Linked DNA regions of Coturnix japonica. The protein of the gene in region 1 purifies or fractionates together with the protein of each later gene. This does not show direct contact. Links are inferred from orthologs where the notes say so. Each region holds a gene or a part of one and is shown in the gene's direction. Other genes may lie near its edges.

Region 1 (3,649 bases):
CTTTTGTTTTCTGGATGGTGTAAAGCTTTTATGTTAGTAAAAAGTTAACTTAAGTTTTGGTTTTCAAAAGGAAGTGTGGTGCTCTTAATAGCTTAATGGTTCTACGTGTGTGAAACAACATATTATAATTTTGTTATAACATTTCAGATATTCCCTAAAAAGTATAGATCCAGTATTAATGGCTCCTACGTGTGTGTTTTTGGCATCCAAAGTAGAGGTATGAAGCATTACAATTTTTTAATGTGAAATTATGTGATGTATGAGAGTGGAAAAACGTTCAGGACTTTGAAATTTTTTTGTCATTCTTCATGCTGTGGGGGTTAAACCTTCTGGGTGTTTTTTTGGTATGGATTTCTATCGCAATTTAAGAGAAGGAGACAGAAGGCCTTCAAACATTTTATTTAATATTTGATCTTTCACATTTTTGTCTGAATTACTAACCCTGAAGAGCCTCTGGACAATTGGAAAGGTTACTTTTAAATGTCTGTTTTACTGTCACAGTGTTTATGTATTTACATACAGTGTATCTTAAATTGTGCAGTTTTTACTTGATTCTCCTTTCTCGTGTGCTTTTCCTTCTTATGCTTACTCAAATTTTAAAACAAATTAGATTTTTTTTTTCCTAATTGTCTTTTTCCTTTTCTTATAGTGAGGGGATCCTCAGAGTTTACCACACTTTCATTACTTGAATTAAAAGCATGTTGTAGCTCATGTGCTGTGTTTGAGAAGGAACTGGCCCATTAGGGATAGTGGTGAGAAGGCCCGAGTCTTCCGCCAGTGGAGGTGAAGGTCCTCTTTGGAGGTGGCTAAAAGTTAGCGTCAGCTAGGCCCTGTTCCCAATTTTCTAAGAAATGGGAGAAGTTTTTCAGTAGCCTGAGGAAAATCTGCATAACGGGGGGGGAAAGAAAAATCATACTGCTAGATCTGTGCTATATTTGCGCCCATTAATTTTATGGGAGGAACCTAAATACCTACAGGCAGTCCTACTGAACTGATGTTTGTGTGTGATACTCTTATCTATACAAAAGCTCTGATACATTCCAGTGTTTGGAAGAGATAAAGGAAAGGAGAAAGACAAGACATTGGATAGAGTTTTGTATTTTTTATCACCTTGTTGATTAAGCCTTTGAAATCTACTCATATAAGGAAAATCTGTCCACTTACACTTTATATTAGAGCAGGAGTTAGAAGGCAGCACAGCCTTCCTGATGCTAAAGCTGCTGTATCTTCAGAAGGCAGATGCAGCGGTAATGATTCTGGTATGTGCATCTCCAAAAGGAAGTTATAAGTAGAAATTTTTGACTTGCTGGCTGCTTCAGTGGAAAACTGAAGGCTTCATAGAAACATAATTTAAGAAGTTAGTTAATGACAGCTTTATTAATGTGGTTTTCTGTCCAACTAGGATAAAAACCAGCACACCTTAGTGAAGCTTTTTTGACTGTTTTACGTGTAGGTTGTTAGCAAACTAATCTTCAGGTATTATCGCTGTAGTACCTTTCTCGGACATTTACTATTCTTCATTCTTTATAACTCAAACAACAAAGTAAAAAAAAAAAAAGAAAAAGAAAACTTTTTTAACCTGAATTGTATAATTTACTCTGTTTACCTTTAAAAATAATAATAATTTTAAAAAGGGGGTGGGGAAAAAATGAAATGCTTCATAAAGTCCATTTAAGAGGCTATTTTAATTTGATATTAGTGTGGATAAGCAGTATTTCTGGTGGTTCACCTCATTTAACCCTCTTTTTCTTCAGGAGTTTGGTGTTGTTTCAAATACAAGGTTGATTTCTGCTGCTACTTCTGTGTGTAAGTATTAGTGGTTTTCATTATGCTATGGTTAAGTATCTCTGTAGGGAAGTTAGACTTTTTTATGATAGCTGTTTTTATTAAGTCACGGGTGGTTACATGTTGACTGCTTGGAGCCAGTTAAATCCATTTAGCATAAATAACTTCTGTTTTTAAATATGGAAACAGAAGGCTCTACCCTTTATTAGTTCTTGTTGATTCTGATTGAAGCTTGTAGGAACCACAAATAAAACGAAAATTAGATACCGAGGCTAATACTTAGTCTAGAGTAGTAAATAGAGATCTGAGCTACTCAAAGATAGAACTGGAACTTAGGGCTTTATTTATTTATTCTATCAGGTGTTTTTCCATGTTTGTAGAATTTTTGGTAGGCTTCATGCCTCCCGAGTTTTTAATCCCTTTTTTCCTCCCATCATAAATTAATTTTCACACGATATTAGAGTGCTACGGTTAGGCTGCGGTTGGACTTGATGATCTTTGAGGTCTTTTCCAACCTGAGTAATTCTACGATTCTATGATTTATTTCTAAATCTGTGTTTCAAAACTTACATATTGTTCATAAACAAAGATGCAACAAAATCACACTGTAATTCCTTTATTTTCCCTCTTTCCCACTCGCCTTATATTTCCCACTACTGTAAATTTCATGTCAAACATCAAGGTCTTAAAGCAATGGCTTCCTTAACTAAATGCTGTAATTTGACCCAGAAGGTCCAGCTGCTCTCAAAAGGCAATTCCTCATTATGCTCTTCAAAATGTAGGTCAGTGCTTTCAAAATAGCTCTTAGCTGCTGAGGGGACAGGTGACTGGCTGCATCTGTAGCCTGCACATGCGGTAACTGTATCAGTCCATGGGGCTGGCTGTATGACAGTTCTACCACCAGAAACTAAAACACGTCTTCAGTGCCAGCCTGACCAAGACCAGTACTAGATTTAGCAGTAAGTGCTGCTATTATTATAGCAGAAGCATCTCCAAGCACAGATCTGTGTAGCTATTTTGATGCATGAATGAGAAACTTAGATGGATTTTAGTTGATTTTACTTAGTCTTCTACTGTTGAGTTGTGTTGTTTCTGAACATTCCAAGGCTCAGAGTCCTGTAGAAGATTACTCTCATGGTTCTTCCTTCAGACCTAGGGTTCCTGTGCGTCCTGATGGGCACTCAGCATTTCTTGGAAGTGGGGGAAAAAAAAGCAACAGGCTTTTTCCTTGCATTTTTGTGCTTTTATTCTACCTACTCTTCCTGTACAATAGCTGCTGCTTCAGTACACATCAATTTATTTGGAACAGAAAAGGAGTAAGAAGATGAGAATAGTCAAAGGAAGCTAGCAAAGGGAAAATAGCATAGTTGTGGCTAGTTTGCTTTTTGTTAAGTAAGAACATTGGAACTAGTAGCACGTGCTTCCTTTGTGAGGAAGATATCTCATAACTCGCAAGCTCTTCAGAAGCTTTTCCTTCTGTTTACACAGCTGAACTGAGAGGACAATTTCATATGGTTGTCTCCAGCTTGCTGTATTGGGAAATAAATGTTTCTATTTCTTTTCCCTTCAAAGTAGTTTATTTTTCAGCATTTATCTCTTTAACTTGCATGCTACTTGAGATGTCTGTTTGATTCCTTCTTCTGTTATCTTGAAATAATTAAGATTTCCAACCAGTGGATTAGTCTTACTGCCCTGCAGCAACTTTTCTAGTGAAGTTCACCATAGATCTCTATATTGAAGCTTTCCATCCAGAGGACTGACGTCTTTCAAAGGGACTGGCGTATGGATTCCCTGGAAGAAGCATCAATTCAGAGTTTACTGTCTGTCATTAACATAAGCAGTACTGCCCATTCCCAGGACGTTA
Region 2 (3,649 bases), about 4.5 Mb from region 1:
TCCTTATGAAAATACAAGTCTCAGAATCTAGCACAGATATTGCCTTAGTCATTGGCATTTGTTGGTATGTGAAGCTCAAACCGCTATTATAAGATAAATTACTTCTTAACGCATTCTATGACAAGCCTGTTTCAGACTTTTGTTTAACTTCTTACAGTTTAAATCCCCGTAGAAACAGAGTCTGGCTGAGATGACATTTGAGGATTACTAGTGGTAGGATGTATTACTGGTTTTGCTCAGTGTGAAATGGAAATACGTATCATCCAGCAGCCCTTGAAGAGGCAAATTTAAGATCTTTGAGATTTTAAATGAATACACCGTTGCAAATTTGATCTGATTATATCTTGGGAAACTGTTGTGATGAGTGGCATAGATATAGATTTTTGTGTCATTTTTCTGAGATAACTGAAATGGCTTGCCGTGACTGAGAGCATCAGCAATTTAGTGCTAGTGGCAGTTGGTTGTCAGGATTTCTGATTAACTGATAACATGAGGATGTAATAAAGGCTGCCATACCAAACCTTTGAGAACTACATAAGCAGATATCACAGGGAAAAAAGACTATCCTGAAATGTTCCACACTCCCATGCAGTACACTATGATTGGGGGGTGTGACTTAAATGTAGGGATTTTTAATTCAAGACATGAAAATTGCAGAGCTTTCTATGATGAACAGGTTACATACCTGACATTAGGAGCACAGTTGCTTTTCTTTGCAGTTCTCTTACTTGCTTCTTCTCTTGGAGGAGTCTTCTGTAATGCTCAAAAGCAGACAAACACAGGTGGTCTTTCCTTGTGAGTGTCTAACCATAGGGAGAAGAGTTGCAATTTTGCTACTTTTCTAACCTCTCTAGACCTTAATGCTTTTTCCAGTCCATAGCTTCTGAAACCAGAAGAGCTGCACCTTTTACTCTTCTGCTTCTGTGTTCTCCTTAACTTTTTCCCTCCCTTCTGTGGCACTTTGCTCTTTCTCCCTGTTAGGCCATGGTATTGTATTAATTGCCTCACTTCTCTTCCTTTGCTATTCTTTTCTTTCTCATGCCAGATTCTTATCTCACCTTTGTCCTTCTCTTCTATTTTCAGCTGTTTCTCTCTGGTCATTTGTCACTTCCTGCTGTCTCAGTAAGATTTTCAGACCTTATAGCTAGGTACCATGCTGGACTGTGTTCCCAATGTACCACTCTTTCCAAGGTGCTTTTAAAAGAAAGAGAGAAAAAGGGTAATGGAACCTGCTTTTGGTTCTGCCACAGAATTTCCTTGTAACTGGAAGAAATGATGTAATGTTTCTGGTCTTGTTTTGCTTACCTTTCTGATGGCAACACTGCCAGCCTCCTTTGGATGATTGCAGTGCATCATCTGTGGAAGTTGGAAAAGTGGTTTTAGTTCTAAGTGAATGGGGCTGTTAAAGCACTTAGGAAAATGTACTGTGGTTCGCCACATCTGCCACTGAGAACCAGTGAAATTTGGGGCGCTTTGATTCTGCTTATTAAGTGTTTATAAATAGCTCCTTCCATCCTGCTCACTGTTACTCTGGCCTAAGTGCTTGCCTAGCTGCAGCAATCACTAAGCTGTCATGCCAACTCTAGTCAATCCTGCTTTGTTAAAAAACAAACAAAGAAAAAACAACACAAAACCACAATGGAAAGAAGTGAGCCACAAATGAGATACCCCAATTTGAGGCAGGCAGGAGCACGCAGGGAGCTCATGTTATGCATTACCTGGCCTTGCTTTCCTGGCGAGCACGTGGGCCTGCTGCCTTTCCAGCAGCACAGTGGCACCCAGCTTAGTGACTCTGTCAGGATCACAAACAAGTACAGAGCGAATGATGGTGTGCTGTCACTTCTTTCTTCCCTTAGAATCAGCAGCAGCAGAACCAACATCAGCAGCAAACAGCACCTCAGCAGCAGCCGCAGGCCGCACCGCAGCAACCGCAGCAGCAGCAGCAGAACAGCACCCAAACCAACGGGACGGCCGGGGGCACGGGTGCGGGCGGAGGGGGCGCGGGTGCGGGACTCCAGCACAGCCAGGACTCCAGCCTCAACCAGGTGCCTCCAAACAAGAAACCACGCATAGGGCCTTCAGGCGCTAACTCAGGCGGGCCTGTCATGCCTTCAGATTATCAGGTACTTCTTGAATTTTTGCTGCTTCTGATTGATTGGAGGCAAAATGTTGTTTTCTCTGTTCCCCACTGCAATAAATATGAATATAATGTTTTAATGAATTTTCCTCATAACCTTAGCTCCGTGCTCTGATACATTAGATAAAAATGCAGCTTTAAAGCCTATTAGGGAAGTAAAAACGTCTGCTTCACCCTCTAAAGTGTTGAGGACTCAACCACCCCAGGAAAGCATGTAAATATGTGTGTAGCTTTATTTGAGAATAATCTTAGCGAAGCCACTGCAACTATTTCATGAATGTAAATGCTGCATCATATCACATTCAAAATACTTGGCTCTTGGCAAGGTTAAGTCCTGTGTGAGAGGCAGATTCTGGGAAGCAAGTCAAAATTAGAGCCAGGCTTTCTCCTTTGGTTTCTGCTTTGTTTTACCTCGTATCATCACACATATGGAACAATTCTGTAGTTTGTTCCAGTATCTTACTAAATTTACTTCTAAAGTTAGACTACATGATAGCACAGGTTTGGTTCATCAGTATGAATCATGCTGAAGCAGGGCATGAGCGTGTGTAATCTCTGTTGTGGCAGGGGTTGAATAGCTTTCATGCTTTTTGCTTCAGTAGCATTCATACATAAAAGAAGTATCACTGAATTGTTTTTGGACTTGAACTTTTGTCTCTGCTTAATAGAATTATGATTCTTTTCTCTGAAAAAGTGACACTAAGTGTCCAAAGAGTTGATTCAACCACGTTCTTCAAATCAGATAAAAGGAAGTTAGCTTAGTAAAGGTATGTTTTAAAGCATGTTAGGGATTCTGCTTGCTACCAACCCTCAAGAGTGCACCATGTTCAAGAAACGTTTTCAGGCTATTTTAAACAGATTTAAAACAAAACAAAGCAACTCTGCAATTGCTTTGGCTTCTCCACCCGTACCTCCTCCACACACAACTGCTTTCTCAGTGCCAGACATTTTTCTCCTATTTCTCTTTTACTCTTTTAATTGCAAATTATCACACAGGTACTGAGGGCAGTGTAAGGTTAAAGACAACAAGGTTTCCTTTCTGAAAAGTTCCAGGCAGGCTTGAAGTCTGGACAGATCACTACAGCTGTCTGACTACATAGTATTTATGGCTGGTCTGTTTTGATCTGCATTTTGAGAGCTGATGTGCTGCATTAGATGATGTTCATTACAGAATCCTTGCACAGCTCTCCAAACTGTTGGCAAGTTTCCACCTTGCAAGTTTTTTAGCAGTCTAAATCTAATTTTTCTCCTTTTTTTGAGATGGTTAAATTCTTTTTTACCTCCCATGACCATTTCCTTCTAGGATTTAACAGCACAGGCAGTGAAATAATGATCTGTGTGCTCCCTTTACATCACTTGCTAAACTGTCTGATCTGATTATCCAGTTTTAAATTTGTATCTGGCTCTCTGCCCTTAAATTGTAGCTGACAGTCTTCTGTTCCAGGAAGGAATGTTTGCAATTTGTCCAAGTCTGACTTAGATCTATAAAATAATAATAATTAAAAAAAAATA
Region 3 (4,117 bases), on another chromosome or scaffold:
CAGAATAAAATGACCCCTGAGGAGCCTGAATCAAGTCTTGCTTTAGAAACAGCCCATAAAACGACGTGCAGAAATGAACCTCTCTGCTCAGCCCCACACAAAGGCATTAGCATCCTGTACCTCCTGCTTGGTTCAGTCAAGGGCCATGAATCCCACCAGCCTTCCCGCAGGGATCTGCTCAGCAGGTCCTGGGCACCCCTGGGCTCTCCTGCACATTCCAGAACTGGTGACCAAGCCGGGATCTATTCTTGACAGTAGAACAATGTGAACAATTGCATCTGCTATATTTAGAGCGAGCAGTCAATAATACATACGCACAAACGGTTACCAGCGTTCTCATTTGATACATAAATAGTTCGCTTTTCAAAAGAAATTGTTTTTTAAAATGAAAATTACCTTTCCCGTCATCCCTGGGCTATAACTAACTGATGAACCCGGGAGCTGAATTCAAATAAAAAACAAAATTATCTGTGCTCTCTAAGCCAATCCAGGAAGGATAACTCACGACTGTGGCTGCTGTTATCAGTGCTACAATAGTGTGTATTGACAGAGCGGTTTAAACGCGGCAGCAGCAGTTTGCTGAAGCACACTCCTGATGGTGCACAGGGGCAGCACTGCTCACCCTCACCTTCCATGCAGCGTGTTCTCCATCACCCCCTTGCACTCACAGCCCAGGCACCCAAGAACCCCACCTCTCCCCTCCTTGCAGCTTCATGGATGTCTCAGCCCTGCTGCTGGATTTTTGCCTCCATTCCTTCAGGTTTCTCCAGTTCCAAGCCCTGAAAGCCCTTCTCTTCTCCAGGCTGAACTCCCTCAGCCTGCCTTTATATGGGAGAGGTGCTCCAGCCCTCACAGCATCTCCATGGCCCTCCTCTCCAACGAGGACAGCCAGGAACAGTTGGGCTGCACACAGGTCAGGGATGCTGTAGGTCACACTGTGGGGTGCTCAGTGTGGGTGTGCAGGGCACTGCCTTGGGAGCACAGGCCCGGCTCAGCTGGGGAACACCTCAGCAGCAGTGCAGTCCCATATCTGAGACCCAGTCCCAAAGCTTGACCCCGGGCTCAGCCCCCACACCCACCCTCACAGCCCAGGACCCAGGGAGGCCTCCGAGCCCCGCTCCGGCCCAGGCCTCAGCCCCAGGCCACGGCCCGCAGCATCCCCACACCCCAACCTCCTGCCCAGGCCCAAACTGAGCCCCACACACAAGCAGCATCTGATGCTCAGCCCAGGCCGCCGCCGGGGCGGTACAGAGCGGCCGAGCTCCGCCCCGCTCCGTCACTGCTCGGCGCCGGGGGCCGCCATGGCCTCGGTGGTGTCCGCAGGCCGAGGGGCCGCCGAGGAGCCGCCGCCGGCCGAGCCGCCCACCGAGCAGAAACCGCCGCCCGCCCCGCCGGCAGCAGCGCAGGAGGAGTTCTCCTTCCTGCCGCTCGTCCACGACATCATCAAATGGTAACGGCGGCCGCACAGCGCCGGGCCGGCCTCACCACGGCATCACCCCGCAGGGATGCTCCCTCTGCCCTTTCTCTCCCCGCTGGGGTCTATGGGGGGGTTGGCAGCTGCTCTGCTCTGAGCCGGGCCCGTAGTTGGGGTCACCGAGGTGGGGCAGGGCCGGGTGTGCAGCAGCAGGAGCCGTGCCGAGCTGTTATTGCCCCGTATTGCTGCTCTGATGGGCTGATAAGTAAAGGACGGGCAGTCCCAGGGCAGCACTGTCTGTTTCTGGGCGTTGGGAGAAAGAGGAAGGCTTGTGCAGGCTGAGTCATCCTCTTTCCTGTTCAAAATCAATGCTGTGGGGTTAAAGGTGTTCGTACGAGGGTCCTGACAACCAGCGTTTGTGGCCCAGGGTAACCCTGTCAGAAATGTTTGAGTTCCCGGTAGGGGCATCGCCCTGCTGTGACCTGGGCACGTTGCACAGTGATGCAGAGGGCACAGGAAGCGTGAATTCCCACTCCTTGTTGTGGGTCTGACTGCCCTTTCCCTGCACGCTTCTATGGGAGCTGAGGCTGCTTTGTTTCCTGCTGGGGTTCTGTGTGTCTGAGTACCCAGAAGAGGTTCACCCTTATTAACCATGCAGCTGGAGGAGCATGGCAAGGAAAGGCCGAATACCCCACAGACACGGCAGCCTAGAATCTAGCTCTCCTAGATTCAGGAGAGCTATGAGAACTCAAACCCACCCTCCATTTCCCCCCTGCGCTGCCACTGTCCCTGTGCTCAACCCTGCCTGATCCATCCAGAGGTGATGCTGAACCTGCTGCCATCTGTATATGTGTGCAGAGCCAGAGTGAGCCAGATCCACGGGCTGAGACCTCCCAGCCTCCTGTGTGTCACCAAGCAAGTCGTGGCGACCCACAATGACAGTGCTGGGATATCCTGTGCCCTGTCCCTCTGAGCCACCCACTCCCACTGCCCCGCTCCCCCCCAGGTTGGCACACAGCATTTCCTGCACGGGGTGAGCAGACGTAGGTGCTCAGAGCAGCACTGCAGAGGGGTCAGACGGCAGAGCCGAGCAGTGGGATGAGTTGCCTCATGTCCCTGACAGATGGCAAACGTATTATCCTTTAACGCCGCCGCCAGGCTCACAGCCCGGCCCTGCTGTTCTGACACTGACTCAGCCCTGAAGACATTTCACATCTCCAAGGTGACTGTGCTGGGGTGCAGTGATGTATCGCGTACATTTGCTTACATTCAAGGACACGTGTTCCTTCCTGTTGTTTGAGTCCCAAGAAAGTTCTCCCAGGCAGGGCTTGCTGTTACTTTCACCCTTGTATAATCAGATGAGGTTACCTGTGAGGTCCCTGTGCGTGGTGGGTTGTGCTGGTGTATCCAGGAGCTGCAGGTGGGACATGATGGAGTTATGATTTGTTCACAGCAGTGAAGGAGAGCTGGTGGGCAGCTGGGGAGGGTCTGAAGATCTCAGTCCTTGAAGGGAGATCCCAAGCACTGTGAGGCTGTGGCTGGACATTGCATTTAATCCTGTGTAACTGCAGGTAGCTGAACCTCTTCCCACTCTTGCTCTCCCCCCTGCCTTTCCATGCCTGCAGAGGAGCTGCTTCAATTACTTGAAAACTCCCATCAGAAACAAAACAACAACAAGCCTGAAAATAGTTATTCCTTCAAACCAACCAACCAACCAGGCAACCATCCATTCTTTGGATGTGGAGAAGAGAACGAGCTGTGGAAGGACCTGGTCGGCCCTTTGAATCCAGCATGCAGCTCGTGTGGATTAAAGGCAATGCCAACCCATCCTTCCCAGATGTGCAATGTGTGTGTGCCTGTATTTTTCCACTGTCAACTTGACCGTAAACGCCTGCATAATGGGGGTACATTATAGTACCAGCTGCGGTTTTATTTAGAAGGGAGTCATGAATATTTTGTTCCAACAGGCTGTTGAAATGAACGGGACCATCTGGTTAAAAGTTTTGCTCTCAGTCGTGTCACGATTCCCCAAAGTTCTAATCAGGCACCTCTCTGCCCTGGTCATGCCAAGCAGTTTTATTTTGGGCCTGGCTATTGAACAGGCTCCCAGCTTACAGGGGCCGTTAGCAGCCTGCTCTCGTTATTAGCGCTGCCTTGGAAGCAGTCTCGCCTTTGCCTGGAATGGTAAAACTCCTTGCTGTAGCTAACAAAGCTGAAGCAGATACTAATGAGGGTTTGAGGGCAGACGCTGCCTCAGACGACGCTGATCCTCGAGAAGCACGGAGCTGCAGAAGCAATTGTGCTGCTCTTAAAAAATAAGCTGTCGCTTCTCTTTATTAGGTAGACATCCCCGGAGAGTCGTTCTGAAGCTCCGAAATGCCGTTTTCTCTGCCATTGGACACACTCTGGTACTTTGGGGAACGATTCCTATTTTCTGCTGTCAAGCTGTTTGACTGCATCGATTTCTTGTATTGCTTTGACAACAGGTCACAGACGGGGCTGAGGTCTTTTTTCCCAGGTGCCCACACACAACCTGTGTGTGTGTAATCTTACCTTCCCCATATGGGAATTGAAACAGAGTGAGAGGCTGTGGTAGTGTTTGAAAGCTGCAGACCAGGTCTTAACCTGTAGGACTGCAATTAAGGTTACTGGATGGTGTGCTGAAAATGACCAGGAAACCAGTTTGTCCCAGCAGCTGCCTAA

What was found.
Region 2: the proteins of CCNC (region 1) and CDK19 purify together in Homo sapiens (affinity purification with mass spectrometry; 8 studies listed by BioGRID and IntAct, counting the BioPlex papers as one, with this or other methods). This does not show direct contact. The link is inferred for Coturnix japonica from reciprocal best matches to the Homo sapiens genes CCNC and CDK19.
Region 3: the proteins of CCNC (region 1) and MED9 purify together in Homo sapiens (affinity purification with mass spectrometry; 4 studies listed by BioGRID and IntAct, counting the BioPlex papers as one, with this or other methods). This does not show direct contact. The link is inferred for Coturnix japonica from reciprocal best matches to the Homo sapiens genes CCNC and MED9.

Annotation. Positions count from the first base shown.
Region 1 is NC_029518.1:64,948,292-64,951,940, forward strand, and holds part of CCNC (cyclin-C), read left to right. Parts: intron 1-147; coding exon 148-217; intron 218-1,754; coding exon 1,755-1,806; intron 1,807-3,649. UniProt on the Homo sapiens protein: Component of the Mediator complex, a coactivator involved in regulated gene transcription of nearly all RNA polymerase II-dependent genes.
Region 2 is NC_029518.1:60,492,032-60,495,680, forward strand, and holds part of CDK19 (cyclin-dependent kinase 19), read left to right. Parts: intron 1-1,856; coding exon 1,857-2,123; intron 2,124-3,649.
Region 3 is NC_029529.1:4,804,085-4,808,201, forward strand, and holds the start of MED9 (mediator of RNA polymerase II transcription subunit 9), read left to right. Parts: upstream 1-1,266; 5' UTR 1,267-1,301; coding exon 1,302-1,450; intron 1,451-4,117.